Lytechinus pictus: one gene and its partner. The protein of the gene in region 2 purifies or fractionates together with the protein of the main gene of each other region. This does not show direct contact. Links are inferred from orthologs where the notes say so. Each region holds a gene or a part of one and is shown on either strand. Other genes may lie near its edges.

Region 1 (16,180 bases), on a different chromosome or scaffold from region 2:
AGGATGTTCAGTAATACTTGATTAACCTTATGGCCAAGTTTCATGAACTAGGTCCATATACTTTCTAAGTTATGCTGTCATTTCAAAAACTTAACCTCAGGTTAAGATTTGGTGTTGACGCCGCCGTCGCCGCCGCCGTCGGAAAAGCGGCGCCTATAGTCTCACTCTGCTATGCAGGTGAGACAAAAAATGAGAGTAAGTTGAACAAAAACTCGAAAAAAGGACGGACATGACCTCAAATCAATTGACCTTTTGACCCCATCATCCTTATGAACACACATATGGCATTACCCAAGGATCATTTGTACCAAGTGTAAACACAATTGATGCAAAAAAAAAGAAGAAATAATTGCAAGTTGACATTAAAAAAAAAAAAATTTGTGAAAGTGATTACTGGGTCTCTTCCCCGCTTGTTCAGGTGAGACAAAAAATTGCAATTCTTTAGGTCAGACATAAATAGCAAGGACTTATTAAATAGTTTGATTAATTGTTATACACTAATTAATTCAAACCTTTAAAATTTATTTGTTTTTAATAGTGCCGTTTTCCTTTCTTTCACAAGTACATCTTTCCATCCATAATAATTGAACAATCCAAAATTATTAGACATTACTCAAGCAACTCAACCCTCAATACACAGAGAGAAATAGTACTAAATACTGTAATTCTAAACTTACCTTTGTGATTTGAATTCTTTCATGATGTCAAGGAAGTCATTATAGACTTGAGGTTGGCTTCCAAACTGAAGCTTGACCTGGTCGAGATATGACAAAGCATCCTCAACTTTCAGCCTCTGATATTGTTGTTGCTGCTGCTGCTGTTGTTGTTGTTGCTGCTGCTGTTGTTGTTGCTGCTGCTGTTGGCCTTGTACCTGAGCAACTTGTGCCTTGAATAATTTAAATAACAGATAAATACATTTTAATATGGTACAAAGCAAAATTTACAATGCTTGGGTATTCCTTGGGCATTCCAAAGCGTATGGGATATTACATTCAATATTCTAGTAAACTACATATAACTCTTGCTTTAACCAGGGCTCTGTAAAATAACAAGTGGAATGCCTCTGGCCGTCTCACCTGCATCACGCGATTCAATATAGCAGCAGTACTGATTTTGAAAACTACTATAACTCGCACAAGATGTTCAGTGATACATGTACTTGGTTACTCTTATTTCCACGTTTTATGAACTAGACCAATACACTTATAGAGATATGATGGCAATTCAACAAATACCCCCAACGTGGCCAAAGTTCTTTGACCTTACATGACCTTTGACCTTGATCATGTGACCTGAAACTCGCACAGGATGTTCAGTGATACTTGATTACTATTATGTCCAAGTTTTATGAACTAGACCAACACACTTTCAAATTTATGGCTGTAATTCAACAAATACCCCAATTTGGCCAAAGTTCATTGACCCTAAATGACCTTTGACCTTGATCATGTGACCTGAAACTTGCACAGGATGTTCAGTAATACTTGATTACTATTATGTCCAAGTTTCATGAATCAGATCCATAAACTTTCAAAGTTATGATGGTAATTCAACAGATACCCCCAATTCGGCCAAAGTTCATTGACCCTAAATGACCTTTGACCTTGGTCATGTGACGTGAAACTCATGCAGGATGTTCAGTGATACTTGATTAACCTTATGTATAAGTTTCATGAACTAGGTCCATATATTTTCTAAGTTATGATGACATTTCAAAAACTTAACCTTAGGTTAAGATTTTGATGTTGATTCCCCCAACATGGTCTAAGTTCATTGACCCTAAATGACCTTTGACCTTGGTCATGTGACATGAAACTCAGGCAGGATGTTCAGTAATACTTGATTAACCTTATGGCCAAGTTTCATGAACTAGGTCCATATACTTTCTAAGTTATGCTGTCATTTCAAAAACTTAACCTCAGGTTAAGATTTGGTGTTGACGCCGCCGCCGCCGTCGCCGTCGGAAAAGCGGCGCCTATAGTCTCACTCTGCTATGCAGGTGAGACAAAAATTGCAATCAACTGCTAAACACCAATGACTAATCAAGATCATCATTGCACACTTTGATTCAACCGCTGACCATGAACCAATCAGGGTTTTATTTTGAATTCAGCTTAAGCTTTCATGTACTGTAACAACTATGGAAATGTTGCCTTGTTGCATCCCCCCAAAAAAAGAGAGAGAGGGGGAAAATAAGCTTATCTGATGAGTCCCAACCCCCTTCCATCCCCCCCAAAAATGTGTCGATATATGGACATTGCAGGGGAGCATTTCTTGAAAAGACAATATCCAACAAATTTTGCTTCATCTGACAGTTACCTGAGTAGCAGTCACACCTGAGCTTCTCAACAAATCAACATCAAGATTTCAAATGTTGATGACAAGCTTTTCAAAATGACAAAAAAGCTTCTTTCACACAGCATCCTAACAAGAGTATACAAAGCCTGCTTTTACAAATTTTGCTCATTCTCTTGAAGACGAGAACATACTTGTCAAAACATCAAGTCTGAGTTGTCCTTGTCAGGACCAACATTGGCCCACGAAAAAATACATGGTGTACCATGAAACCAATACACCCTTTCTTCTTTGCCATGAAAACCTTCAGAAGATACAGGAACATTCTCTTCAAAAAGTAGCTATGTCATTCATACAAATACATGTTCCATAATTTTTTAGGAGACACAAGAAAGCAGTTGAAAGTACCTGTGACTGTGCTTGAGCCTGATGGATGGTTTGTTGGTGAGTTGCAGCCTGTTGGGATGCAGCGTGTGGATGGGGATGGTTTGGTGGATGGTGTACCCCACCGTGATGGCTGACAGGCTGACCTACTGGTGGCACACTAGGGACATAGATGCATGAATAAAAAACATTGTCAACCGGAAGCAGTGTCATCTACATTCAGTGAAACTTTTTTTTCAAGGGCATGATGCTTGCTAATTCACTTTCACTACAAATCTCCCTTTAAATTTGGTTGTTGAAGGGATGGTCCGGGCTGAAAGTATTTATAGCTTAATATTAATAAATAGAGTAGAATTCACTGAGCAAAATGCCGAAAATTTCATCAAAATTGGATAACAATTTTAAAGTTTAGCAATATTTTGTGAAAACAGTCGTCATGAATATTCATTAGGTGGGCTGATGATGTCACATCCCCACTTGTTCTTTTGTATTTTATTATATGAAATTAGGTTTATTCAATTATTTACATGAACTAGAAAAATTGGATTGACAACTGATTTAGTGCATTAGATATTTATTGCTGCAACTTATTTCATTATAAGGGAGACATATTATTCACACAAGTATGAAATAATGAAAAAATTATGATTTTATGTAATAACATAAGAAAACGGGAAGGGGAGATGTGACATCATCGGCCCGCCTATTCATGACGACTGTTTTCACAAAATATTGCTAAACTTTAAACTTCAATAACTTAATTATTTGTTATCCGATTTTGATGAAATTGTCAGCATTTTGCTCAGTGAATTCTACTCTATGTATTAAGATGTAAAAATTTTCAGCCCTGACCATCCCTTTAAGTGGGTGGGCGATTGGACACAAAGATATCCCATCATTATCTGTCATGTTTTATTTCCATACAAAAATAAAGAAAATATATGAAAATAAAGAAATATTTCTTAATGGATAGCCCATTTTGGAATTTTATAAATGACGCTGTTCTTCCATAGGGCCCTAATAAAGGACCCCATGTATGAAGATCTAGTGAAGTTTTGGCATGGTTTCTTAATCAAACAGACACAGTGAAATAGTGGCATCTGGACTTAAACCTAAGTACTCTAAATATAAAAGACTTGTCAACACAAATAAGCACATGTGGGCCTTAACTAATATCACTTGAAAAGTGACAAAGAGCCATGCTTATTAATTGCCAATTACTAACTTTCTACTGGAATCATTTGACAGACGTTTTTCATTATCGTATATAAGCCCTGTGTGGGTCATTTTCTTAGATTCTGTTCAAATTTATTTATGACCTTTACCATTATGATTATGGAATTCAAGCTATAAACTTACGAATATCCAGGCATAGGTTGATAATGTAAACCACTGGCCATGTTCTCGGGTTGTACTGCCTGCTCGAAGACGGGGACAGATGAAGGCAATGGGATACGTTGGCTGCCAATTACCCTCTCAACAGGCACCGTTGTATTGACTCGCTGCTGCGGGAATGCACTCTCCTGAGGTTCCGCACCAGAGCGTTTCATTATGTTGAAGCGACAACCAGAGGACGATTATTAGGAGTCCTCTCTGATAAGAATCTGATTGGACAGCAATGGAAGACATGTACAACTGTAAGTTTCCTTTCTATTGAATGGACACATGTAGTTCATGACATTTTATTAAAAACATTGGAGAAGAATAATAAATACACAACTTAACCCAAAACATTTAAAAAACTTATATTTGGGAATTCACAATATGATAGAATGTTAGAATTACAAGTATTGCTTCAAAGTGTCAATGCCCTCTAGGCCTCTACATTAACTGATTGCAAAAAGAAAAACATGACTGTGCACATGCAATGAGAATACAACATTCGGTCCCATAAATTCAAGCACGAAATTCCTGCTTTGTACTATTATTTTCAAAACTCAACTTGGCTGATCAAGGGTTGGAAATAAGAGATCATGTAAAAAATTTGATATATATCTATATAGGAAAATAAAGTCATAAACTTGGTTGATAATATCTAGTCTTCTGCGACACTGATTACAAGTATCTTATGGATTTCTTTATTTTAACAATCCACCTGTCACTGCCAAAAAATCCTGGATGGTAAAAAAAAAAAAAAGTGGAACGACTGGCGGTCTCGCCTGTAATACGCGATTCAATATAGCAGCAGTGCTAACTTAATAATTATTCACAAAAAACACCATTCATATGACAATAAAATACTATGTTCACTGATCCTACAGGTAAATGATCTTTGACCTTGATCACATGACCAAAAACTCGTGCAAAACAATCAGTGACACACAGTCTTAATCACCTCTATGTCCATGTTTCATGAACTAGATCCATAAACTTTCAAAGTTATGATGGCAATTTAGCAAATACCCCCATTATTGCCAGAGTTCATTGACCTTAAATGACCTTGGTCATGTGACCTGAAATTCATACAGAATGTTCAGTCATACTTGAGAACTCTTTTGTCTAACGACTTTAAGTTTCATGAACTAGATCCATATACTTTCAAATTTATGATGGCAATTCAACAAATACTCCTACCGTTCATTGACCTTAAATGACATTTAACTTTGGTCATGTGACCTAAAACTAACGCAAGATGCTAAGCAGGCGAGAAAAAACGGGATGACTCAGGCATACTACAATGTACAGATAGCTCAGAATAAGGGTATTAAAATCCCATTCTGATGGGGATAAATTGTAGTTGGCTGCCTTCTTTTATAAATAAAAAAATATGATTTGTGGTCTTGCAGTCATGTAATTTGAGAGAAACCTTTGAACTCGTCCAAGTTTGATTACACTTTTTGAAGAAGCGAAAATTGAAATCAACATTGAATGGTAAGGCAAAAAATTCAATGCTGCACCCAAGTGACCCTTTTCAAACCTGCAGACTGCAGACATTTTCTACTCAAATTTGACCCCCCCCCCCGAAAAAAAAAATCATTGTTTTGCTTCTTTTTTTTAATGGCGAATAAAATTGCTCCAAGCAGCTACTTGCGGCCACCCGAAATGTTGTAAAACTGGTAGAGTAATGTTTGGAATGGGCAAGATAGGCTACTAATTATAAGTTTTGACTTGGGCCTACACATGTCCATGTAGCTTAATGGTCAATAAAAATAACAAGAATGAAGAATCTTTTAAGGAAAACATTTAGATCACTAATTCTATGTAGATCCTTCTAATGGCAAATATGACCAAGATCTGCGATGTCATAACTTCCCAATTACCTAATGTACATGGAAGTACAATTTCACGTCAATTTTCTCTTATATCAGGTCTCTCGCAAAATTAGGCGTTTTTATTTTTTTAAGTGGCATGTACATGTACATGTGTAGGTTTGAAAACATATCACAGAAGAATTGTTTAGTCAGAACTTAAAGGTCAAGTCCACTGAATATTTCAATTTTTACATATTTCATTTGGCAATAAGAACCCTCTTGTTTGAACTACAAAATGTGAAAACAATGGTAATTACACATTCAGGGAGGAATAAATCATTATTTTGCATGGCAATGAGGAGAAAATAAGCATATTTACATTTCATTTCAAGAAATACCAAAGAAATACTAGTAGTGAGTGGATGACGTCATCGGTCTCCTTATTCGCATACCGATCAAGATTTGAATATGACTGTTTTGTGAAATTAAGCAAAACTTTAACCGTCATAACTTTATTTTACATCCGATTTGATAAAATTTTCGGTATTATGCTCGTTTGATTTTTCTCTTTTTATTCAAACCAATATTTTGTTGTGGTGGACTTGTCCTTTATATCTTAAGAGATGATTTGGTGTATATTTGCAATGTCCAAAAGCCTGAACATGTTTGAAATCACAGTTCTTGCTCACCTAGCTAATTGATCATGGGAAGATTGCAGTATTTCCACAACATTGGTGAAAATGACATTCAAATGCTCATAAGTCTGAACATTCTTCTTGTCCAATTTTACACAAACTTTTGTTGAGCTTATTCTTTGATTTTTATGCTTTCACACAAGCTAATTTTCCTTTAAATTGGAAATCTAAACCAATAAAAAGCTGGTTTGAATAAGACCAAATGAATAATACTGAAAATTCCATCAAAACTGAATGGAAAATATGAAAGTTATGGCATTTTAAAATTTCACTTATTTTCAATAAACTGGTTCTGCAGTGTCTGCACATCAAAGTGACATACACATTATTGTCAATTTGGCACACTTACAATTTCGTTTGTATTTCATTGTTTTAGACTATAACAATATTTCATTGATTTGAACAGAAACTCTTCATTCAATACAATCTAAATTCCTCCTGGTTAGGAAGTAATAATTCTGTTTCACATTAAACTGAGACAATATACATACATGTATGGCATATTTCATATAATAAAATAGAAAAGAAATGAGAGTGGGTGACATTATTGGTTCCTAGTTCCCACATTTGCATATTGACCAGATGACAGATGTGCATTGTAATTTTGTACTGGGAAATTAAGTGAAACTTAATAATGTCATAACTTTCCTATTTTACATTTGTTTTGAGTGAAATTTATTATGCTTATTTGAGTTTTATTCTAAAAAATTATTTTTTTAAATAATAAATGGAAGTAACTTTATTTTCCTTTATTCTAAAATAAAATAATAAATTGTACTTGTAAGCAATTACATGCAAATGTACAGTGAAGTCATTGCCGCAAATGCACCATTATGTAGCACCACTGTAGCTCTGTAAGACTCATGAGAGATCATTGAAACTTGAAAGACCAGGAAAAGTCCATGGAAACTCGAAAGAATTCTGAAAGATCACTTGTTGCATAAAAGATCTCTGAAAGACAATTGAAAGATGTCTATATGACTAGTAAGACAAGAAGTATCAATCGGTCTTTCAGAGTTCTTTGAGTGGTCTTTTTGAGCCATTCCACAGAGATGACAAATTCAGTGATCTTGGAGATTGCTCTAAGACCTTGCCATTTTTTTGTCTTTCAAAGGTATTGTTTTAAAAATCTCCCCTCTGTGGAATGGGGGCTTAATTACTCTTAACAAGTGGAGCACCTCTGGCAGTCTCACCTGCATTAAGCGATTCAATATAGCAGCAGTGCTGACTTGAAAACTACTATAAAATGATTATTCACAAAAAGCACCATTCATATGATACAATACTACGTTCATTGACCCTAAATGATATTTGACATTGATCATGTGACCTAAGACTTGTCAGTGATACTTAAGACTTGTCAGTGATTACACCTATGTCCACATTTCACAAACTATCCATAAACTCTGTAAGTTATGACAGCAATTTGATAATTACCTCCAACGTGGCCAAAGTTCATTGACCTTAAAAGACCTTTGACTTTGGTCATGTGACCTGAAACTCGCACAAGATGTTCAGTGATACTTGATTACTCTTATGTCCAAGTTTTATGAACTAGATCCATACACTTTCAGAGTTACATGTATGATGGTAATTCAACTCCCACAAGATGTTCAGTGAAACTTGATTACACTTAAGTCCAAGTTATATCAATCAGATCCATAAACTTTCAAAGTTATGATGGTACATGTAATTCAACAAATACCCCCAACTTGGTCAAAGTTCATTGACCCTCAATGACCTATGACCTTTGACCTTGGTCATGTGACTTGAAACACAGGCTGGATGTTCAGTAATACTTGATTACCCTTTTGGCCAAGTTTCATGAACTAGGTCCATATACTTTTTTTTAAGTTATGCTGTCATTTCAAAAACTTAACCTTTGGTTAAGATTTGATGTTGACGCCGCTGCCATTGGAAAAGCGGCGCCTTTAGTTTCACTCTGCTATGCAGGTGAGACAAAAATAGCTTGACTGATTTAATCATTACAGATAGGCCTGCTAGTAAATGAATCTAAAATTTATATGATGAACATTGTCACTAATTAATCCTCAAAGGACAAGTCCACCCCAACAAAAAGTTGATTTGAATAAAAAGAGAAAAAATCCAACAAGCATAACACTGAAAATTTCATCAAAATCGGATGTAAAATAAGAAAGTTATAACATTTTAAAATTTCGCTTAATTTCACAAAACAGTAATATGCACATCCTGGCTGGTATGCAAATGAGGAGACTATGACGTCATCCACTCACTATTTCTTTTGTATTTTATTATATGAAATAGTCTAATTTACTCCTCATTGTCAAGTGATACAACTATTAATTCCTCCCTGTACATGTGGCATTAGCATTGTTTAATACTACATGTATGTTTCAGTCAAGTTCGTCCTTATTGTCAAATCTATAAAAAATGAAATATTGTATAATTCAAACAATAAAAAACAAAAGAAATAGTGAGTGATGGACATCATCGACTGACTCATTTACTGTAGTTGTGCATATCACTGTTTTGTGAAAAATAAGCGAAACTTTAAAATGTCATAACTTTCTTATTTTACATCCGATTTTGATGAAATTTTCAGCACTATGCTAGTTTGATTTTTCTAGAGCTATTTATTCAAGTCAGCATTTTCCTGGGGTGGACTTGACCTTTAAATGTATGTGTTAAATTTGATTGTGTTCAGTGTTGCATTCAAAAGATTTACAATATGTAAATACTGCATGTAGAAAAAAAATAATGGTGCAAACTCTAAACAAAAAAGAAAAAGAAATAAAGAAAGTGGCATCATCAACTTTGTTGAAAATTACCCACAAAAATTAAAAACATTCTGCCACACTCAACTCGGGCAACACAGCCAAATTTGGAAAATTCAAATTCCAGTTTGCTTCAAAAATCATGATTAATTTCTTTATGTAAGTTTGATCCTCCACCTACAGCAACACATCACAAAAAATACCTTGAGTTGTGACAGTTTATGGATGGGGCCCGTTGCAGAAAGAGTTGCGTTTAAACGCAAGCCAAAAAAAATCGCAAGTACCAAATGCGCGCTGTTCATTGGTTGAAAATCAAGTTGCGCGTGATTTTTAGAGTTGCGATTGATTGCAACTCTAAAAATCATGCACAACTTGATTTTCAACCAATGACATGAAACAATTATAATTTGCACCATTACACTCCAACATGCCTGTTCATGATGCAAACATTTCACAATTTCTGACTCAAGAATATTCACTTATAAGCTACATCCTTGATCCTCCAATTAGCAAAACCAGTTTAAGAATAAATAATTCCTGTGCTTACAATTTACATGTCATTTATTTCATATCCATACCATTCATTTGTTTTGTTACATGACATGTACATGTAAACTTTATGAGATTACAGTTACTCCTGAATGAGACTGAGGAATTCGGACATGACAATTGACAAATACAGGTAATCAGAAATAGCATAAACATAGCCTTTTTGGTGTGTTTACTTTAAGAGGGAATTCATAAAATGTCCATGGATAAACATGTATAATTCAAATGACATTGTCAATGGCATTGGCATGCATGACAATATAATATTTCATGCTTTGGAACTGAAAAATTCAACATAGGGTGTGCTTTCAGCCATGTTCCACCTCAAACAAAGCTAATAATAGTCCACCTCTGCTAGGTCAATACATTGTGTGCATACTACGAGGGACTACAACACATGGAAATCTGCAATGAATGCACAGACCCAATGACTCGCCGAAGCAAGTTGTTGCTGTGTCAAAAAATGGCTGACTGAAACTCTCCTTGGATGATCAGCATGAACCATTAAAAATAGGAAGACTGGCGATTTAAACCTAGCACGCAAAGCCAAAGCCGTCTAATCATCAAGAAAGAACATACAATTTTAATTTATATCTTAAAATATAAAAAAAAAGAACATGTAATTTTCTTTATCTTACATAAAAGGTGTCTTAACGAATAATAAAAGGGGGAAAAGAAAAAAAAGTTAAGACACATCCCACAACTACCACCCCAAAGACCCCTACACAAAAATGGTATCAGCCCATAAACAATATCTTTGAGATAACCAGGAAGCTGGCTGTTGTCAATCCACCGCACAAAAATCACAGAACTAAAGTGCTCACATAAACAAGAAATTAGACGATTCCATAGCAGACTTTGTGTGGTAAATTTGCAAAATGATCATGGTGATAAAAACAAATAGTAAATTAAATGATTTTGAATGCAAATATGGAATAAAACTGGCATATTCCCTTGGTTTTCTCTGAATAATCACATCGGTCGAAGTCAAAGGCAGACGCCACAATTCACCACGGCCTACACACAAGCACCGCATGATATGCACACAATAATGGGAACATAATTTAACGTGCAATGGCCAATCCGTTTTGGGGCGGACATTTGGAGCAGAATTATAATCTTCAGTATCATTCAATCTTCCAACGAATACCTACAAATCAAATATGAAAATGATGGAAAATAAACAAGGTCTATTACTTACAGAAATTGAAATGCTCAGATGAATTCCAACACACAAAATTTTACAATTTTCCAACACATACCATGTCAAACATCGCGCGAAGACAGTGCACAACCAACGCAGAACAAGTCGGACGTCGGGACATAATTCACGTCTTTTGTCACCAAAACTCGAAGAAAATGTATTCTCAGATTAACAAAATATATATAACTTACACTAAAGGTTCCGCAATACACAGTGATTAACATCCCCTATCCATCCACCTTTAAAATAACGTAAACATGAGGCTATCTGTGAAGAAACAACCATCAAAATTGCAGTCCCATACAACAACCTCACCAGCTGGGCAGTGCGAGACGCTTGACGATCAAAACATAGGGAGAGTTCGGGTCGAAATTTTCTATGGTCTCCGCTGTGAAAACCTTGCTAAAATATAAAAGATTATCATCCAACCTGCGATCAAAAGATTTGCCATACAATGCTAGAGAAAAGAACACTTCAACAAATAAACCTAGAGAGAATTACCAGTGAAATCAATCAGATGGTCCAGATTTCCTCGGATTTTACGTCCAAATCTACGGGTAAATCCACATCCTTATTTCGGGAAAGATACACTGTTATGCTTATTTGCATATAATACGTACGACCTATGGGCAGTAGTCTACGTCACAACGTTAATTCATTAAGTGACCAATGATGAGCTGCATACACGCGAACCCTGACAGGTGAAACGCGCGCCCTACGCCCACAATCCTTAACAAGCCAATGAAAATAGAATTTAGTTGATTGTAAGAAGTGTTTGAAGTTTGCGGCGCGAGGTTCTAAATTTTATCAATTTGTTGGAAGTTCTATGGAATTGGTGCTCGAAAAGTCTACTCCCACTTTACGGGAATGATTAGCCTAACGTATTCCTGAACGTAAACTGATCCTGGCAGAAATGCACAAGCTTGAACAATACATGGGTGTCTTTATTATTTATTCTGTGAATTATACAATTTTGAAAATTACCGAAATAACAGAAACTTCGATCGCATGTACCCGGTGTGTTGCATAGCAATTATTTACACTTAATTCAAATTTGGGTATATTAAAAGAAAGATGTTCATAACTCCAATCGTTTTGCTGTATATAGGCCTTCATGTATTTCTATCAATGCACACAGCTTCGAGTATTATTTCTTTCTCCTGATAATTTCTCTCTTCGCCATCAGAAGACGAAAAGATTGTTTATAGCCATGAAAGTCAGTATATCAAGAATGTGTGCCAATTACATGTATAAACCATAATTGTGAAATAAGTCATATAAATACAAAAAAAAATTATTGTGAAATAAGTGTAAAAAAAAAAGACTGATCATTATGGGAGGCTGTTTGTCATTGAAAAGTGGTATTAGGCCTAATCTACAATTGTCCAATATTTTCGGCGTGCCAAATTTTCTATTACATAATTTTGCATGGCAAAGGTGTGCAAAATAAATGAAAATTTTGTATTAGTATTTTTACTTTTTTTCATGCCAAGTTTAACAGCTCAGTATAGCTATTTTTCTTTTTCAAGTTTTCAAACTTATTGAGGGGCGAATCGATTTTCAGGGGGTGACAATCTTCTCCTGCCCCTCCAAGGCCTTTAGTCACTCTCTATTTTCTGCCTCAACTACACGTAAATTTGTATATTGTTTGTCTCCATAACCTTTTCTAAATTACATTTGTTAGCTTAATGTTGTTTCTGCGTATTGGAGAGGAATGTATAAATGATAAAATCTTGATTTTTAATCCGCTAGTTTGTGGAATATACACTCTTAAAACAAATCAGTCAAATTGACTGGACAAGTGGTCATAGCTGGGTGCAACTGATATGCTAGTCACATTTCTGACATATATTCTATACTCTATTCTAGTAAAATACGACAAGAAAATAGTCAAATAACGAGAATAACAGTGGCACCCAGCTGACCCTATTCACTATAGTCATTTTTTACTGATTTGTTTTTAGACTGTACGATACTTAGCCAAACTGATAATTTGGTGTAGCTGTAATTTCCTTTAACCAATTAGAACTCGATTTCATGATCTAGTAAATCAACAAGTACAGTTATTCCCTTAAAAAAATCATAAGATATATAGATAAAAACATACAAGGAGAAAAGTAAAATATAGTGGTAATTTTCCATCGGTTATATAGTTTTCAATTATGTTTGGAAACATTTATTTTGGTCAGAATCGTAACTGTTTGAAATTCGAAATGCAAGCATACAGAGACTTTTTGTTTTGTTAATTGTTATAACATTTGATTGTAACTCCAATTCAGACTTAGTGCATGTATGCATGTTCACATTTTCATTTTCGTTTTGGTAAATTTTGAAATGCACATGACTGTAGAATGTTTAGAATGTCACTTGAGCAAAACGTTGGCTTTTGACAGAATCTTTCATGGGGAGGGGGTGGGGTATGGGAAAGGGGATAAATCGTCTACAGCGCCTCCGTCTTGAATTTCGAAGTCCGCCGTGACACACCTCCTGAACCCCTGTTACATAATTTACACTGGCACCATATCGGATCATTTTCAAGCTACTTCTTTTGGTATATAACCTAGCCCCCAAAAATATTTGTCTGATTGTTTAGAAATTTATATCCCAGGTAGAAAAACTAGACTCCTCTAAAGACCCACTTAAGTTAACATATACGTTAATTCCATTGGGTCTTCAGAGGATCTGCATATATTAATTGCATATGTGCAACAGAACGAAAACGGACCGGAGATAGAACCTTCACTTTTGCATCCTCAATGGAATGGAACAATCTCCCTCTCACATTAAGACAAAGTCCCCAAAAGTTGAATCATTTAAGATGTTCATAAAAAACGTGTTTGTTCATTCATTCTGTATTTGTTTTTGCATGAATTAGGTAAACTTAAATTGTAAGCGCTTTGGGCCATTTGGGAAAAGCACGTTGGGTGTCATCATTATTATTATTACTATTATATTTTATCTCTCTGTGCATTGATATGAAAACGACATGAAGAATTTTTTTACGAGGCGTACAGTAGGCCAATCTTAATTCAGTATATAGAATATTAGAATTCCCCAAATGCTAAAGTAACACAATAAATGAAACCACAATGACAATTTTTAATGTAAATACCAGGGGTGGCGCCACCCCCATAAAAAAAGATGGGTGGGGGTGGGGATACGGATGAGTATCAAAATGAGCTCTGGGAGTGTAACTCTACATCAGACCCTGTAATTCAATTAAGGAAATGTAAAGCTGTAAAAATGGCAGTTAATCTCCTGCATATAGATGGCTAGTTAACTAAGAAAGGTTGTTACAAGATAATTTGAATTACTAGTATATCGGACTCATAAATCATAGATAGATCGTTGATATCGACGGGAAAGGCTCTCTCTTTTCCAAGTTAATGTAGCATGCCAATTTAACCTGTCATTTTTGCCTCCGTCAGTTCCTTAAGATTTGCCATATTCACCTCTGCCATTTCCATCTCTGCCTAACAACCACTTGATCTACTCTCAATTTGGACTAATTACTCTACAGCCCAACTAACTTACTCTCACTTAGTCAATCTATTAATAATTTACCCTTTGTCAAATCAAAATTTGGTTCATAAAATCAATATTTCATTTCATCATATGTGATGACACAAATGAAAAGGTAAGCAAGTTTCCACTTCTGAACAACAAAACCTTCACATTTTGAAAACTTACATCACAAGCTACACAAAAGCAGATACTAGAAACACTGTTTATGTGCATGTAAATCGAAAGAAAGTTTATTCCTTTTTGTAACAAGACACCAAGAGAACATGAATCCATCTTATAATTCGTTAACAATAAATACTTTATTATGACAATCATGAAAGAGTTAATGAATTCAGAACAATTAGCATCATATGATAAAATCTTGAAAAAAATCCCACTGGATAGAAAAGCAATAAAGTAAAAGAAAAGGTTTTAAGATTGGAGACATTATTATACAACATCTAAAGGCATGATATTGTACAATGGTACATGATCTCTTGAATTCAAAGAATTAATCAGTCTTTCAGGATCAAGAAAAAATTGCATAAAGTTTTTAAATAAGTGCATGTAAATTATGGCTTCTATTGCACAAAATAATAAGTTACATGTAACAGAATGTATGTAGAAAAAAAAGAACAATATCTGAACGGTATACAAAAACTGACAGTTCCAAAAGAAAATTTGATGCAAGATGATGATATAAGCATTACACATGTATGCTTTGATCCATGAATTTCATGAAAACATTACCATATTAAAAAAATTCAATGACAAATAAGCAACTCTTACAAATGAGCAACAGGGAATAATTTTCCTCGTATCGCATCGCAATTCGCTCCACATTTTTGAAAGACTGCTATGCATAAAGTCTTTTGAATAGCATATTTTTACATAGGACTGTACATTATAATAGTTGAGAGCTTTTCTCTTATGACCAAAAATGCTATTCAAATTTGTCCAGCAAAATTATTCCCTGAGCAATCATATCATTTAACCCCATTCTGATAAATCTCCTTAGATCCTCCCACCTAGTTTTCAAGCTCAATTGCATATACCACAGACTGTCACCTCTTGTTATTAGTGTTATATATGTATGCCATACAGACACTGATGCATGATGGCAAAAATCAATGCATCACAGTATTGCTAGCAGAATTGAAGATGGCAGTATACAATTTTAAGTAGTGTTAGTGTAATACCATTCCTCTAATAAGAAACCATGGATGAATAATAACTTAATACTCATATGAGTCATGACCAATATTTTGAACTGAATTTTGTGTAAAATGCCAGTCCAACAAATATATCATTTAAGTTTGAACAACAAAATGAAATCAAATATCCCCCAATTAAAATCAATTTCGTCAAGACCTGACAAAAAACAGAACAAACATGCATGCTTCATAAACCATGGTCTAAAACTCTGGTATAGTATGGGTTGAAAAATGTGGCAATAATCTCTTTTCAATATTCATCTGATTACGCAAACTTCTCAGTATAAAAACATTTAAAAAATATATAAAAACTAACAGTGTGAAAGGTTTGGGGCATTTTTATCTACCTGTAATCACTAGCACATATTACAAATCTACATTTTAAAGT
Region 2 (16,332 bases):
AGTTGATGTGGAAATGTTGTAAAGGAATACACTCATCATCAGCATGCATTCAAAAGAGACTAACTTAATTTTGTGTTGCAACATCAATTTCAGGTAGAATGCATTAGGCCTATCCATTCATTATTTTCTCTCATCATTTGATCTCAGATTAGTAAATGCATAAAAAAAACTTTTCATGACATTTATTTTTGTTGTTTTTATTCAGAGGCTCATGGGTTCAAATGGAAATAATTTCTTTCAGCAAGAGATTCATCTCAACTTCCAGACTGAAGTGAATGGGTACCCAGACAAGGCTGGGGCAACAATAATAATAATGTGTCTCAGAATAGATTTTTAACTAAACAATTTGAACTTAATGCCTATGATTACACAACTTGCTACTACATGAATATATATTGCATGCCAAAATTTGTGAAAAGTTCTTCATGTCTCTGTGAAATTTATCATTCTATTGTAAAGAATGGTTATGGGAATCTTCAAAAGCTGCATGTCAATATTGATTTTTTTTTTTAATATATGAAAAAAACCTGGGGTGGTATTCTGAAAATTGTCCTAACTTTTCTTGTAACTTTTCTTGTAAGTCAGCAAGATAACAGCTCGCTAAAATTATCTTAAATCAGTATTCTGAAAATTGTCTCATCTCTGTAAGGACTTCCCCTATTTTATCTCCGACATGCCTAATATTTTGTCATCAACCAATCAAACTTTTTATATGCTTCGGTCAACCAATAGAAGCATCCCTTCTAAAAAAATAATTAAGCGCATTGTTGACATGCGGCGTAATTTCCTTTGCGCCACCGACGCTTATGCCTGTACACTACTATGCTAAAATCGGCTAAAATACACGTGGCTTTTCTCAGAGTCATATTTTCTCTGAAAAGATTCATCATCTCGAATGCCAATTTTCAATTGCTGAAGTCTACCAATCCGTTGTTATAACGTCTTTGTAATGTCTCCTTTTATAAAACATGATGTTCTTGCGGGATGCAGGAAGAAATTGTTATTGCTGACCGAGAAATATCGCATTCAACATTAAGTTACAATAGCCCCCTACCTCTTGTAAATTTTCTTGTATTTTGCAAGGAAGTTAACAGAACGCAAAGAATTTTCAGAATACCTTTTATCTCGATATGTTATCTTGCGCACAGAGATCTATGCGCCGTTCTTAACTTTACGCATCATTGTAACTCTGACGTCATAAGCGCTTAGTGAAAGTTACAAGAAAAGATACAAGAGTTTTCAGAATACGGATTTTATTGTAACTCTAAAGATACAAGATTATTTCTCTTAAGACAATTTTCAGAATACACCCCCTGATCTTAGAGGGCGCTTGACACTCCAGAAAACAATCAATATTGAGGAACAAAAATTATTGCAAATACACAATGAGAAGCTATTTACAAACAGCTACATAAATAGAAGCAATTACTTTACAATTTGAAAAACAGTATTTACAATAAACAAAGAATAGATTGAAATTATCTTTACATGGTAAGTATGACTTAAGAGTCGTGCATAAATGCCGACATGGACATGATATAAATAGAGCAAACTTAACACAAAAGCTCACATCATTATAGCATGATTTGACCAGTGCAATGATTCCTTTCATACTGCGTGCAAAAAACGAATTCAGTGCGATTCTAAATCACACTTAAATCTTTGTGAAACATTCCCCAAGTTATGCTTTTGGCAGGACTTTGAAATATCAAGCAGTGAAAATTGAGATTCTCACATGGATGATTTCGCTTTACAGCTGTCATATAATCATGATGGATCTATATCTAGATGATGTTGATATTCGCGTAGGGGGGGGGCATTGCAGAAGGTCTGTGTTCAGTTCCCATTCAGGCGTAAGTCCCAAAATCAAACATAAATCCTTTGTTCAATAGAAAATTCATAGTTGATTTGCATTCCATTGCAACTCAAAATTATGCTTGATTTTGGGTCTTATGCTTCATTTGCAAATGAATGTAAGCTTCCTGCAAAACCTCATTGGTCTATTACCAGTTGGTCAACCTCCCAGTTGGTCTAATTCTCAGCTTGCCCGGCTGTACAACTAGGGCTTATCCTTTTTGCCCATAACCAGTTGCCTGATCATGTAGACTAGTGGATTTAAATTATAAACCAAGTAAGTTAAATGGTATGTTCACATTAAAAATTACGCAAAAATTTAATGGTCTATTAAAATGACAATTAAATTGAATATCTAGTAGAAAAGCTGGTTAAAAAAGTGGATTAGACCAAGTGGACTGAGACCAAAAGAGGTATGTTTTTATCATTATTAGGATAGACAGATTGGGATTAGACCATTCCACAATTCACCTCTATGTGCACTGGTCTAGACAGGCTATACACGTACGTATTGGTTTTATGATTTCTAGCTGTGGTCATGTTTTTGGTCAAAGCGACTCTTATTATTCTTAACCATGTAGATAAAATAAGTCAGAGCTTCTTTTTCTCTCACTGGAATGGTCCTGAAATGCCTGGCAACCATCTGTAAAATGATTAAAGGGATACAAAAAACAATTATAATTATGACCGCATATTTTTGTAAAGATATCCTATCTTGCTTAACATTGATTAATACAGGAAAAATTATCTACTAAAAAAAACCAATTGCATTTGAATGAAAGCAGGACACAGGACAAGTGCTAGCATTGCGTCCCCTCCAACAGTTGAAACGCAGTGCCAGTATGACATACGGTAGTTGCCCAACCAGAATCTGAAACTGGGAGTCTGCAATGAAATCATGCCCTATTAACACCAGAAGGTTTACAAGATTAGACTAGGGTTTGTTTTTCTTCCTTAATTCTTCCTTTTTCACCTTCTCTTTTTTTCTTTTTTTTTTGCTGCCATCCTGAAAGTTGATCCCGGGGTAGGGGAGATCGGGGTTAGTTGGAACGCGGGGTAAGTTGAAACATTGTAATTTTCTTTAACCCTATCTTAACTGGGCTATTTCGGACCAGTATATACTGGGGCCTCAGATCTCGGCCACTGATTGCGCAATCGCCGCGAAAATTTGCCGGATTTAAACTACTTTGAGTGTATAGTAAAATTTTCAATTTTTTTTATTTTTTATTTTTTATTAATTATGCAAATAAGCATATGAAATTTGCCATAAATTTGTTTTTTTGTGTATGTATTTGCCTTTAACTCAATTTATATAGCTAGTAGAATGCAAATTTTTGGTGGGAGTATCAATTATAACATTTCTAACAAATATCTACAAACAAATAGCAAAAATATAATTAATTTCTTATGTATTTTATGTTTTTTTAATTCTTATGTATTTCTTTGTTTTTTATTGTTTTTCCCAATGAACTTTGTCGAGGACCCTTTTGTGATCATAAATAGCATAAAATAAATCCATTTAAACCAACAAAACTAAAAATAATCATACACTTATGATTTTTGGTCGAAAAACACAATTTGCATTGATTTTTTACACGGAATCACGTTTTTGAGCAATTTCTGGTCTGACATGCACTTACAAAACGTTGCGTAATTTTGGTCTCAAAAGATAAGCAAGACTTGAAAGTAAAAAGTCAGTGAGCGGCGTAGTCAAAAAAATTTGTGCGACGGCGTAGTGACAAAATTTGTTGAGGGGGGGGGGATCAAACTGACCCCCCCCCCCAGTTTAATAAGGGTTAACGCCTGTAAAATAAATTTATGCAACACTGCCCACAATTTATTGCTATTAATAATATAAAAGTGTTGTACCATTAATAGCAATAAATTGAGGGCAGTATTGCATAAATTCATTTTACAGGCGTTAAAGAAAATTACACAATGTTTCAACTTTACCCCACGCTCCAACTAACCGCGATCTCCCCTACATGCCCACTTCCCCCATCCTGAGCTATGTCACTGCTGACCATGGCAAAAAAATCATATAAATACCTCTCTCAAAGGGGTTTGTAGGATCGTTACTATTTCTACAAAGTAACCCCCCCCCCCCCACACACAAAAATAAAAACTAATGAAGTCCTTTTCCATGTGTTAACCCTAAATAGACTGGGCTATTTCGACGCCTAAGAAGACTGGGGGGGGGGGCTGATTCAGCCCCCCCTTATGATCTCGGCCGTCGACCGCGCGATCGCGACGAAAATTGGCACACGCGTTACCCATGGCATTATCAACAAAACTATAATATCAAATTCTGCAAAAAATCTCATTGCTCATTAATTATGCTAATTTATGCGTAAAATCATAAGTTTGCTCTAATTAATAAAATAATGCCCCTAAAATGGTAATTTTTGTTTCACATACTCTAGATAGGCATCTGATCAAATTTATTTTTAAAAAATTTCAACATCACATTTATTTTCTTATGTATTCTATTGTTTTCTAAATTTCTTATGTATTTCTTTGTTTTTTGACTTTTTGTTTTTTATTGTTTTTCAATGGAAATTATCGGGGACTTTATTTTTACCATTAAAAAGATAAAATTAATTGATTTTAAGCAGTAAAAGGAAAAATAATGATACATTTATGAATTTTGGCTAAAAACACTATTTGCATTGGATTTGTACACAAATTTACGTTTTTGAGTAATTTTGGGTCTGCATGCACTTACAAAATGTTGCGTAATTTCGGAACCGCGTACCCGGGGGTCACAATTTTGGTCTCGAAAGTCGCGCGAGACTTGAAAGTAAAAAGTCAGCAAGTGACACGGTCAAAAACTTTCAAGCGGCGGATTTATCGCGAAAAATGTCGAGGGGGGGGCTGAATCAGCCCCCCCCCCCCAGTCTTTTTAGGGTTAAGAATATCAATTTTCATTAGAAAACTGCTTCTTAAAATGGATTCTACAACAAAATAGTGCTGCGGCAAGAAATAAACATACCCCCACCCATAATTTGTGATAGTTCCTTGAACTTACATCAGCAAGTTGTGCCTTGTTGAGCCCTGGTTTGGTCTGAATCTTATAATGTCTCTTGTATCTTCTTAAAGTATTCACTTGTAAATGAAACAAATCAACCTGTAGAGAAAGAAAATAGTCAGTGACATTCATGACATTTTTCAGTAAATGTTACAAACGTACAGTATGGTATGGGTTTATAGTTTATCTCCCTTGAAGCTTCGGGTATTTCAAGAGCAATTGGGTTTCATGTTTTAATGAACTCTATCAATAGAGCAGTTCCAAGGTAATGGAGAGATATTCAGAAACAAATTTTAGCATTCAAACAAAGATATCACCCATATTTAAATAGTTATTTTCAAAGAAATGGTACCTGACAGTAGTTGATGAAGCCCACTTTAAAAATAATAACATTTGTTATTTTGATCCACTGAATTTATGAGATATGAATATTCATAAACATGGTTACAGAGTGACGCAAAATGGACATGCATATTTGAGGAGAAAACATATTGCTCAAACTCTGTGAACTTTAAATGGCTATCACAATTTTGAGTTATTGATTGGATTCTATGTTGTTCTAGCTTTAATATGCTGCATTACATTAAAAATTGGTGTATTTTTTCAGTAATTACAACTTCAAACATAAACCCATATTCGGTTACGGAGTGACATCTGAAATATTCACCCACAGGCAACGTAAAATGAACTTATATTTAAAAAACTTTCTTTTGATATGATGTAAAATGATGACCTTCAGATTATCCAAAAGAAAATTTTACAAAACAAGCAATAGTTTTCCGCTAAATTGAAATTAAGGAAAAAAAACATTCATAGTCCCATGTATAGAATTTTTTGTATGGTTTGGATTCTCCTATAAGGAGATGCGTAAGAAAAAAATTTGTGTCTAATTATGTTCCCCTTTTGTATTTATGAAATCCCATATGAGTTTTGATAGAAAAATTTGATCCAGAATTAAAATAGAGCCAAAATAAATTTTTGGAAAATTTCCACTTTTGCTTGGAATTGCCCAATACTTGTGTTCCCGGGGAAACTGCAAGTATATCACACTTGTATACAACTAAGGATCTAAGATTTTTTTTTAAAGGAAAGGCCTATCAGTCTTTATTGTTGGGATATATAAAATAAAAAAAAATAAATAAAAAATTCTTATTTCTGAGTCATCATGATAAATAAATTGGTGAATGATTGAAAAATGATTCACAAAGAAAATACCTCTGGTACATCAAGATCATGATCTGGAGATATTCCACCATCTTCATCACTTCCTTTCTTCCTCTTCTTGGTACTACGAACACTTTGTATCATAGACTTGTGAAAGTCACAGATATAGATATGCCTCACCTGTTTAAAAATACCATGAAGATAGATAATGATTATTTTAAAAAAATCACCAATATCAAAGAAACAGTGTACTTCTATGACTTTCATGATCACCTAATTATGGCAATGACAACTTCATGAAGTTAATACATCTGAAAAAAGATGATGCTGAAAAAAGATACAGTCACTGCTCACAAGAGAGAGATTGGCACTCACTGACAAGCAAGTAAAAAGATAAAGAGCTCTAATAAGGTTAATTATAAATTATTTCACAAAATTACATAAATATAAATGGTTTCTCACAAATATAATTCTTTCAAGAACATGTTCACCTCTCAATATTGTCATTTGGAAGTTGATGTATGTGCATACTCACACTGTGATCAATAGTCAGTTTTAATTTCCTCTGTTGAACTGTCTTAGCAATACGTTTACTATAGCATGCATTCCCTGCAGGTCTTGAACAGCGCTGACCATCGTCCACCAAACAACATATCTGACCATGTCCGGAGTCACGACTGTCATCCTCTGTTGTACTAAAGCCATTCATCTTGCGCTGCGATGATGTTGAAGACGACAATTTTGTCGTCGAAGGATTCATGCTCGATTTCATTGAGCTAGATTTAAATGGGCTGCTTTTCTCTTTCATTCTGGTATGGACAAAAGATAAGAAAAAAATTACCAATCCAGGCACTGTTCATGAATATATTTGCCTACATGATACATACATAGAGGAAAACTAGAATGTCACTGGTCGTCTTCATTTAATGTTTTGTTGAGGGGAAAAAAAACTTCTTGGAAAACATTTTACTAGATTTTAAACAGGGAAAATAAATATTAGATTACCAACTGTCACTTTTCAAATACACACAAATTCTAGATTGCTATTTGAGCAAAATGATAATGGATAATTCTTTAGAATAAAAGTTAATACAGAGATACCATTTACATGCATCATGATGCATGTGTTTGATAAGACTTGCATATTAAAGATATACATGTATTCATGCCTATGTTTGACAGTACAACACTCAAGAGTAAAATAGTTAAACTAAAGAAATGTAGTGAAGTTTCTCTGATCTCTGTGAATCAATAATGTCACATGGATAAACTCATATATGGTAACAAATCTGCATTTATCTTTTTATTGGAGACTTGGAGTGCATAATAAATGATGAATTAAACAAAATGTGTGACAATTTCCATTTTTGTCACTGCCATGATCTTACGTACTGTTTTGTACATCTATCTGAGTTTGCTATGCACTATTTATTTACTTTACTATTATGAGTGTGTGTCTATACAGAGATTTTTTTTAAAGTCCACATAACCTGAGAACAATACAAATCTTTTATTCTCTTTCAATCATTTCATATTTACAATGATAGAACAATTTATATATTACCACAAATCAATTAGCAAAGTAAAATAACAGCAAACAAGATTTACATACAAGATGTACAAAGTGAAAGTAACCTAGTGGTAGTGGCTGCAGAATTAATATTTTAGAAGTTTGTTTTATTCATTTTTAATTAATGTTTTTCTTTATATTTTTCGGGCCACCAAAAAAAATTATGTTATATTTTCAATTATGGTTATGAATACTTTCATTTCTTATGAAGATTGAAATGAATATTTTAGGAATTAATTAATGGTATACAAAATCGACCTCTACATGAAAACACAATAGATTGAATTGTATTTATATTAAAAATATGCAGGGTTTTTTTAAGAGACTTGAGTTTGAATGACTGTGGAAATCTGAGTATGTATTAATCTAATTATTATTGTTCATTTTTTATACCTAGATTCTCATTTTTGCACTGTTTGAATCACTTGTTTACTGCAACCACCCTGCCTGTGGGGAATCTACAGGTTGGACTATGGCATGCCAATGCTGTACAGAGCACACACTTTAAAAAATATCACTTTTGTGACCAAAATTACTTATTTCCGTACAGTTGCAATTTATTTTTCATTAGTAACTTGGGAATAATTTTTGTATTCACTAGAGCGCTCAAAAACTTGAATTTTGGGCATATTTTTGTGTACGCCCTCTATTGGTGGAAAATAATATTTTTAATTAAGAAAAAAATAATTTAAAGAATCAAATTTACTTAAAGGGCCAAGTTGTATGACGAATAGGTGTAATGGAAACTGTCAGTGTAAAAAAATCAAGCACTTGTCCCAAAGAAAAAGAGAAAATAAGCCAAACATTGCCATCCTTATTTTGCCACACATGGAGATTTAACCGAGAACAAGGTTATATCCACTCATTCAATGAACAAGGTTATGATATAACCTTGTTCACTGAATGAGTGGTTTGAATAATCTTTGTCTTTGAATTAATTTCTTGCACATATTTTAGTTCCCGTGCAAGTCTGTTGATACGTACATTACAGAATACGAATTGCAATTCCAAATTACTTAGAATCTTCATTAAAATTATAAAAGAAGTTTAAATAAATGCTAATCTTGCACTGAATTCAGTCAACCAACAACAGGCAAGAACTTGAACTTGTCACCATGTCCATGGCCATGCCCATGGCATGGCATGGACTTCTCGACTTGGTCCACTCACACAACATGCGATGTTACTAAACTATTTTTTATTGACTTGGTCTTGGTCACTGCACTGATCAGTATATGGTATCATTTTAAACTTTAAAATATCAAATTATGGAATGGTCTGTGTGCAAATAAATGTGGCAAAATCGTGATATAGGCCCCGCTCGAGAAAAACTTGTAATCGATTATACTACCTCAATATCTAGGTTGCTAACTTCAGCTCACTATATATACTCGTGATATAGGCCCCGCTGCTGTGTTGAATGGCTTAGAATGTCCGTTTGCGGGGCCTGTTTCACGAGTAAAGTACTATAATCGTTATATAGGCCCCGCACTACGGCACTTCAGACACTCCAACACAGTAGCGGGGCCTATATCACGAGTATATATTAAGCTTGCATCCTAAGATAGTCGCGAAACTGGCCCCGTCCAATGCGCTTGTCCCAGCATTCGCACGTGTGTGGGGCTCGGATGACGGCTATAGTAGTATACTCGTTATCGAGGTCCCTTACGCTGTTATATAATGGAAAATAACGTGGTCGTGGGGCTTGTTTCCCCGGCCGGTGAGAATTATCATGGGCGGCGCTGTAGGGGGGAGGGGGGGGGCTTCAGTTTATTTTCCAAATAAACAAGGAAAGAATATCATGGGCGGCGCTGTAGGAGGCAGGGGGGGGGCTCCAATTTATTTTCCAAATAAACATTAAGGAGAGATAATAATTTACTTCTTCAGAAATTTATTTGTCGATTTATTTATATTTATTCATTAATCATTTGATTTATTTGTTTTCAGTTTTTTTTTCTTTTGTGATGTAGAGAGTCAGAGGTATCAATTGGTTTTTAATTATTTTTATGTTTAAAATTACATTTATTTATTTATCAACCTATATATTTTAATTGTTTAATTAATGTATTTATATTTATTCATTAATCATTTAATTCATTTGTTTTCAGTTAATTTTTTTTTGTGATATAGAGAATCAGAGTTATGATTCGTTTTTAATTCTTTTTATTTGTGGAAGTTCATTTAATTTATTTATCAATCTATTTTAATTGATTAATTAATGTATTTATATTTATTTATTAATCATTTAATTTATTTGTTATCAGTTTTTTCCTGTGATATAGACAGCCAGAGGTATCATTCGATTTTAATTCTTTTTATGTGTGGAAGTTCATTTATTTATTTATTATCTATTCATTTATTTATCATATTTTCATCTTTTTGTTATCTGAAGTCTTATGTTGATACAGGGCCATACATTTCATTTATTTTTCATTTATTTTTATTCATTCTGTAAGTTATAATGGCTATACAAAATGAAGACGGCACTCATTGTAAAGCTTAGAATATCTTCTCTTTCACCTGGTATCCTCAGAAGATTCCTCGATCATTCAGGCATGAATGACTTTGAAAATTTGAAGAAAGTATAATCTGAATTAAAAAATTATCGTTTACCTTCTTTGAATTAGTCGTAGTTGAACTTGGGGTGTTATAACCTTATTTTTCGTTACATAAAAGGAATTTATATTTTGTTTAAAGGTCAAGTTCACCCCAGAAAAAATGTTGATTTGAATAAATAGAGATATATCAAACTAGCATAACGCTGGAAATTTCATCTAAATCGGATGTAAAATAAGAAAGTTGTGATATTTTAAAGTTTCGCTTATTTTTCACAAAAAAAGTAATATAGGCCCTATATGCACAACTCATTTACGTGCAAATGATACAGTTCCGGCCTCGCTATTTTTTTTTTTTTTATTATACAATATTTCATTTTTCACATTTTTTACAATAAGGGCCAACGTGAATGAACCATATGTTCAGGGAGAAATTGTTTCACTTGACAATGAGAAGAAAATGGGAAAATATCATATTTCATATAATACAATACTAAAGAAATAGTGAGTGGATGGCATCATCAGTTTCCTCATTTGCATATCGACCTGGATGTGCATATGTAACTATTATTTCAAATTAAGCTAAACTTCAAAATGTTATAACTTTCTTATTTTATCTGATTTTGATGAAATTTTCAGCGTTATGAACGTTTTTTTTTCCTCTTTATATTCAAATCAACTTTTTTGTTGGGGTGGACTTGGCCTTTAAATTAAACAATTGATGTATTTGTTTGTATTAAACTTTTTTGTCTTATTTGATGTTAGACCAACCATTATTGTTAATTTCTCTTTTTACTTATGGATTTTATCTCTCTGTATACCATATATTATTATATATATAACAAAATATATTTTGTTACCTCACTGAAGCCAATACGTGAAACGTTAGAGAGAGAGAGAGAGAGAGAGAGAGTGGGAGAGAGAGGCCTAATGCATCACTATTTCAAGTTCTCCAGTCAGTCCGCAAGCCCCTGTGTTAATGAGCAAATGAGCAAGATTTATCCAAGTCCTCACGTGGCTGAATTCATGTCCCTGCAAAATCTCGTGAATTGTGAGACTTTCTTTCTCAAAGAATTTAACCACTTTTTCCTTGAGTAATATTGATTATTTTTGTACCATGGGCAAGAGTAAATGTTACCCTTTTATATTGGTCATTTCTTTTGAATGAAATATTTTGATAAATAAGTGAATTTTTTACCTGAAAAGATGCATCAAACAGAATTTTCTTCCTCTGTTTTCACTTGCAAATTGTGCAACATTTTGTGTTTTAGGCACCAACATTATTTATATCATCAGAAAGCTCAAACTCTGTACTTTCTTACAATGTCACTCTTGATATGTGGCATCTTTTAGATGGGTCAGCAGCCAGTTATTTCCATCAAGATGCAAGACGAGATTTCTGAAATTTCTGAGTAACATAAAATCCAGAGTTCTGATTGGCTGAATACTGTTTTCAAAACAAACAGGCGCGGGTAATTTGAAGAGATTACCACATGGTGAGTGTGACCTTGCAGAGGCCCAGTGTGGGGATCATTGGAATTTGCGTGGGTGTGTGGTCTATGACCAATCAGAGCGCAGTATTCTTGTTTTTGAGCTGCAAAATGTACTTGGCCTATGAAAAGCTGGCTGCTGACCCATCTAAAATACATCTTCTTATAAAAATTATATCATATTAAAGCTTAGATCTTCAGCTTTATCATGATTTAAAAATCATTTGTGCCTAAACAGAAATTAAGTGTAAAAATAACAACTTTTGTTGCATGAAAAAAAATATTTTGTTTCATGTTTTAGATCAAAAGTTTTTCCTATATTACAACATTCTTTTAAGAATCCAAACACATGACCTAAAAGAATGATTCTTCTTCTTTACAAAAATACCAAAAACATGAAATTTTGTCGATATTTAGAGCAGCAGTGGCCGAATAAAAAGAGGTGTTTTGGTTCGCACCAAGCTCATTAACTATGCAAAAACCCTCTTGTCATGAATATCACTTGGATAAAAGAAGCTACTTTTTCAGGGCTTGCGGACTGACTGTCTCCTTCGTATTGTTTCACTTATTCATTTCCTGGTTTATTCATATATTCATTTATTCGTTCATGTTTGCACTGTTTTGGGAAAAAATGTTGTCTATTAATTGACACGAATGGCCTACCCTTAAAGGGGGCAGTTTACCCTGACGCAAAGTTGATGATAATTAAAGCAGAAACTGGAAAAAATATTCTTAAAGGTTTGCTGAAAATATATTTTTTTAATTGTCACGCATTTTGGTTAAGAAGTTCGATATTCTCTAATCAAATATTTCCATTCTCACACTTTAATTAGTGTTTATTATGTTAAATTGTATTCTACTCATAAATGTAATGAATTCCTTGCTAAGATCAATTGTGAATGTCATTTTCACTTGCCCAGTAACCTGCACAATCAAGGTACTAATGGATAATTTGTTTTTCTGTTCCAATCATGAAGAAGCGAAATCGGAAATCAGCCCCGTAGTTTGGTTTTTTAAAACACAAAAACGAAATCACAACGAGAAAAACGTGTTGTGATTTGGCATTTGTATATAAAAAAAACAATGAAATTAGAAATACTTTTGTGCTTTATCTGGTTTCTCATTCTAAATTTGTGTTTATATATATAAAAAAAAACAATATCAGAACATGCCACGATTCGTGACCTCACTGTCAACTAAGTAATATGTACGATGCAACTGCATGACAAACAGCGCCTAAAGAATTGTTGGATGTCGCCTAGCAACAGGGTGCTATGTTAGTGGTAATTAAACTACATGTAAATCAATGTAAAATAATGATATTTACAGATGAAGTAAAGTGTTGAACAAGATGCCCCCGCCTCTCTCACTCCTACATGTCAGCAGTGCTTAAAAACATACCCTTTTCGTGTCGATATATATCAACAAACTTCATCTCGAACTTCGATCGCATTCGCATCCTATTTTCAAGTGTGAAAAAAATTCAGCTCGCGCTCCTCTTTCATATCCTGTTCATGCGTCACTGTAAAGTCCTTTTTCCATTTTCAGTTTAGTAATTAAATATTAAATAAACGTTAGCTGTTTGGGTTAAAGAGAGCTTAGTGTGCTCCATTGATAGCTTTTAACACATGGATTATAATTTTTTTTTAATGTTCAGTTATCTCGTTTAGTTCGGCCGTATAATCATGGTAAGCATATCTTGTTGGTAAAAATTAAAGTAAAATGTACATTAACTTCCATAGCACGACCCCCCCCCCCCCCCCCCAAAAAAAAAAAAAAAAACTTTTACCTCTTCCTCTTTGACTGGCCAACTATGGATTTCATGAATGGCAATGTGTCCGACCAGCCTGTATCCATGCACGCCCCTTTAAAAATACTGAACCCGTACCTGTGTGTATATTTTTTTCCTGACGCATTCAACCAGACAGACCTCTGTACCACCAACTGTCTTCTCAAATTTGCGCCCCCCCCCCCCCGCTACGAAATCTCGGATCTGGGGGACACATTAAACTCCTGAAATACTATATCACAGAAAGGGAAATAGTAGAATAATTCGTGCATAAAAATAAATTATAAGAATACATTGAGACACTTTTTCCGAAATTATTAAATCTTTTAATAAAAACGGGAAATCGGGGGGGGGGGGGGAGGGCAAGGGTGTATGAATTAGTAAATAAATGAATACCATATAGGCGAAGAAAAAATGCAATATTTGGATGGTGAATTAATGAAATGACGATCGATCAATATTTTTTTTGACGAAATTTTCGGCATTATGCTCAGTGAATTCTACTCTATTTATTAAGCGATAAATACTTTCAACCCGGACCATCCCTTTCAGTTTTAAAATGAATGCAGGATGAGAAAATACTCAGTAGGTTAGCTGAAGAAATACTGGCATATCAATAAACGGTATTGTAAGCTTTTTAAAAAACAAAAGATTAATAAATTGTGTTAAGGTAAAAAAAAAAAAAACGTACTTTGAAAGTACATGGTTGTAGGGCCTACTTTTATACGCAAAATGAATAATATACATATAATCTCAAATTGTGGGGACTGGGGGGGGGGGGTAAGTCTCAGTAAAATATAGATTAATTTAAATATCCCTCAAGCAATAATGAAATTGACCCAAAGAAAATTAATAAATCTTCCCCGAATGAATATACCTATTCGTTTTGTTTTTTTATCTTAAGTGGATGAAAAGTGGGGAGCCAGGGGAAGGCATTTATGAAAGGAATGAAAAAAAAAACCAAATTGATAACACACAGGAAGCCAGATGAGTGATTCAATATTGAATAAGAGAAGAAAACCGATTTGAAAAAAAAATATTGACTACTTACATCCAGGTGATTATAAATAGATATATGATACATGAATGAATAAATGGATTCATTCGCAGCATTACTTCAAGTGAAAGATTGGGAGAAAATCATACAAGAACTATGTAATTTGATTATTGATGACACCTCCCTCCCCGCAAAAAAAATAATTAAAATGAAATGCTGGGGGGGGGGGGGGCTCCAATTTATTTTCCAAAAACAAGGGGAATAATAATGAACTTCCACACATGAAAATAATTAAAAACGAATAATAACTCGATCTGACTCTCTATATCACAAAAGAAAAAAAACTGAAAACAAATAAATTAAATGATTAATGAATAAATAAATGATTAATAAATAAATATAAAATACATTAATCAATCAATTAAAATAGATGGATAAATAAATAAACGAAATTTCACACATAAAATAATTAAAAACGAATGATACCTCTGACTCTCTACATCACAAAATAAAAAAACTGAAAACAAATACATTTAATGATTAATGAATAAATATAAGTACGTTTATCAAACAATATAAATACATATTAATTAATCAATTAAAATAATAGATTGATAGATAAATAAACAAAATTTCACACACAAAAATAATTAAAGGAGAATGAAACCCTTGAAACCAGCTAAATCCATATCAAAGAGAAAAATCAAAGAAACATATTGTTGAAAGTTTGAGGAAGATTGAATGAATAATAAGAAAGTTATGAGCATTTGAATATTGAGATCACTAATGCCATGCAGATCTTCCTATTGGCAATGCGACCAAGATCTGTGATGTCACACACGTACAACTCCCTCATTACTTTAGTACTTATTTCACTTATATTCTCACTTTTATAGAGTCTATCACAAGGTGAGGTGTTCTCTTTATATGAGAGGACAAGTTCAGAGGTTTCACAACATTATATCATTGATGAATCGTTTGTCATATGATTAGAATGAGCAAAAAGAGATGTTTTGAGGTATATTTTCAGTGTCCAAAAGGGGAGAGTTGTTCATCTGTGACATCATAGATCTTGGTCGCATTGCCAATGGGAGGATCTCCATAGCATTAGTGATCTCGACATTCAAATGCTCATAACTCTTCTATTGCTAGTCCTATTTTACTCAAACTTTTGTTGATCTTATTTTTTTATTTTTCTGCTTTCACAAAAGCTAACTTGCTCCAAGAGTTTCATTCTCCTTTAAAAACAAATGATACCTCTGACTCTCTACATCACAAAGAAAAAAAAAAACGAAAACAAATAAATTGAATGATTAATGAATAAATATAAATACATTTATTAATCAATATAAATTAATCAATTAAAATAGATTGAAATAAATGAACTTCCGCACATAAAAATGATTAAAAACGAATGATACCTCTGACTCTCTATATCACAAAAGAAAAAAAAACACTGAAAACAATAAATTAAATGATTAATGAATACATTAATTAATCAATACAAATAGATTGATAAATAAATGAATAAGTTAATAACTGTATTAATACATAAATCAATCGACAAATAAATTTCCGAAGAAGTAAATTATCATTCTCTCTCCTTGTTTTTTTTTAAAATAAATTGGAGCCCCTCCCCACCCCCTACAGCACCGCCCATGATATTCTTTCCTTGTTTATTTGGAAAATAAATTGGAGCCCCTCCCCCGCCCCCTAAGCGCCGCCCATGATATTCTTTCCTTGTTTATTTGGAAAATAAATTGGAGCCCCTCCCCGCCCCCTACAGCGCCGCCCATGATATTCTTTCCTTGTTTATTTGGAAAATAAATTGAAGGCCCCCCCCTCCCCCCTACAGCGCCGCCCATGATCATTTTATTTTCCATTA

The links.
Region 1: the proteins of histone deacetylase complex subunit SAP30L-like (region 2) and paired amphipathic helix protein Sin3a-like purify together in Homo sapiens (affinity purification with western blotting; 4 studies listed by BioGRID and IntAct, with this or other methods). This does not show direct contact. The link is inferred for Lytechinus pictus from reciprocal best matches to the Homo sapiens genes SAP30L and SIN3A.

Annotation. Positions count from the first base shown.
Region 1 is NC_087247.1:13,908,388-13,924,567, reverse strand, and holds the start of paired amphipathic helix protein Sin3a-like, read right to left. Parts: upstream 11,676-16,180; 5' UTR 11,576-11,675; intron 11,351-11,575; exon of another isoform or gene 11,266-11,350; intron 11,161-11,265; exon of another isoform or gene 11,072-11,160; intron 4,284-11,071; 5' UTR 4,230-4,283; coding exon 4,039-4,229; intron 2,840-4,038; coding exon 2,704-2,839; intron 887-2,703; coding exon 678-886; intron 1-677. UniProt on the Homo sapiens protein: Acts as a transcriptional repressor. Corepressor for REST. Interacts with MXI1 to repress MYC responsive genes and antagonize MYC oncogenic activities. Also interacts with MXD1-MAX heterodimers to repress transcription by tethering SIN3A to DNA.
Region 2 is NW_026974140.1:19,460,987-19,477,318, reverse strand, and holds the start of histone deacetylase complex subunit SAP30L-like, read right to left. Parts: upstream 6,855-16,332; coding exon 6,582-6,854; intron 6,227-6,581; coding exon 6,098-6,226; intron 4,982-6,097; coding exon 4,883-4,981; intron 2,498-4,882; coding exon 2,381-2,497; 3' UTR 1-2,380.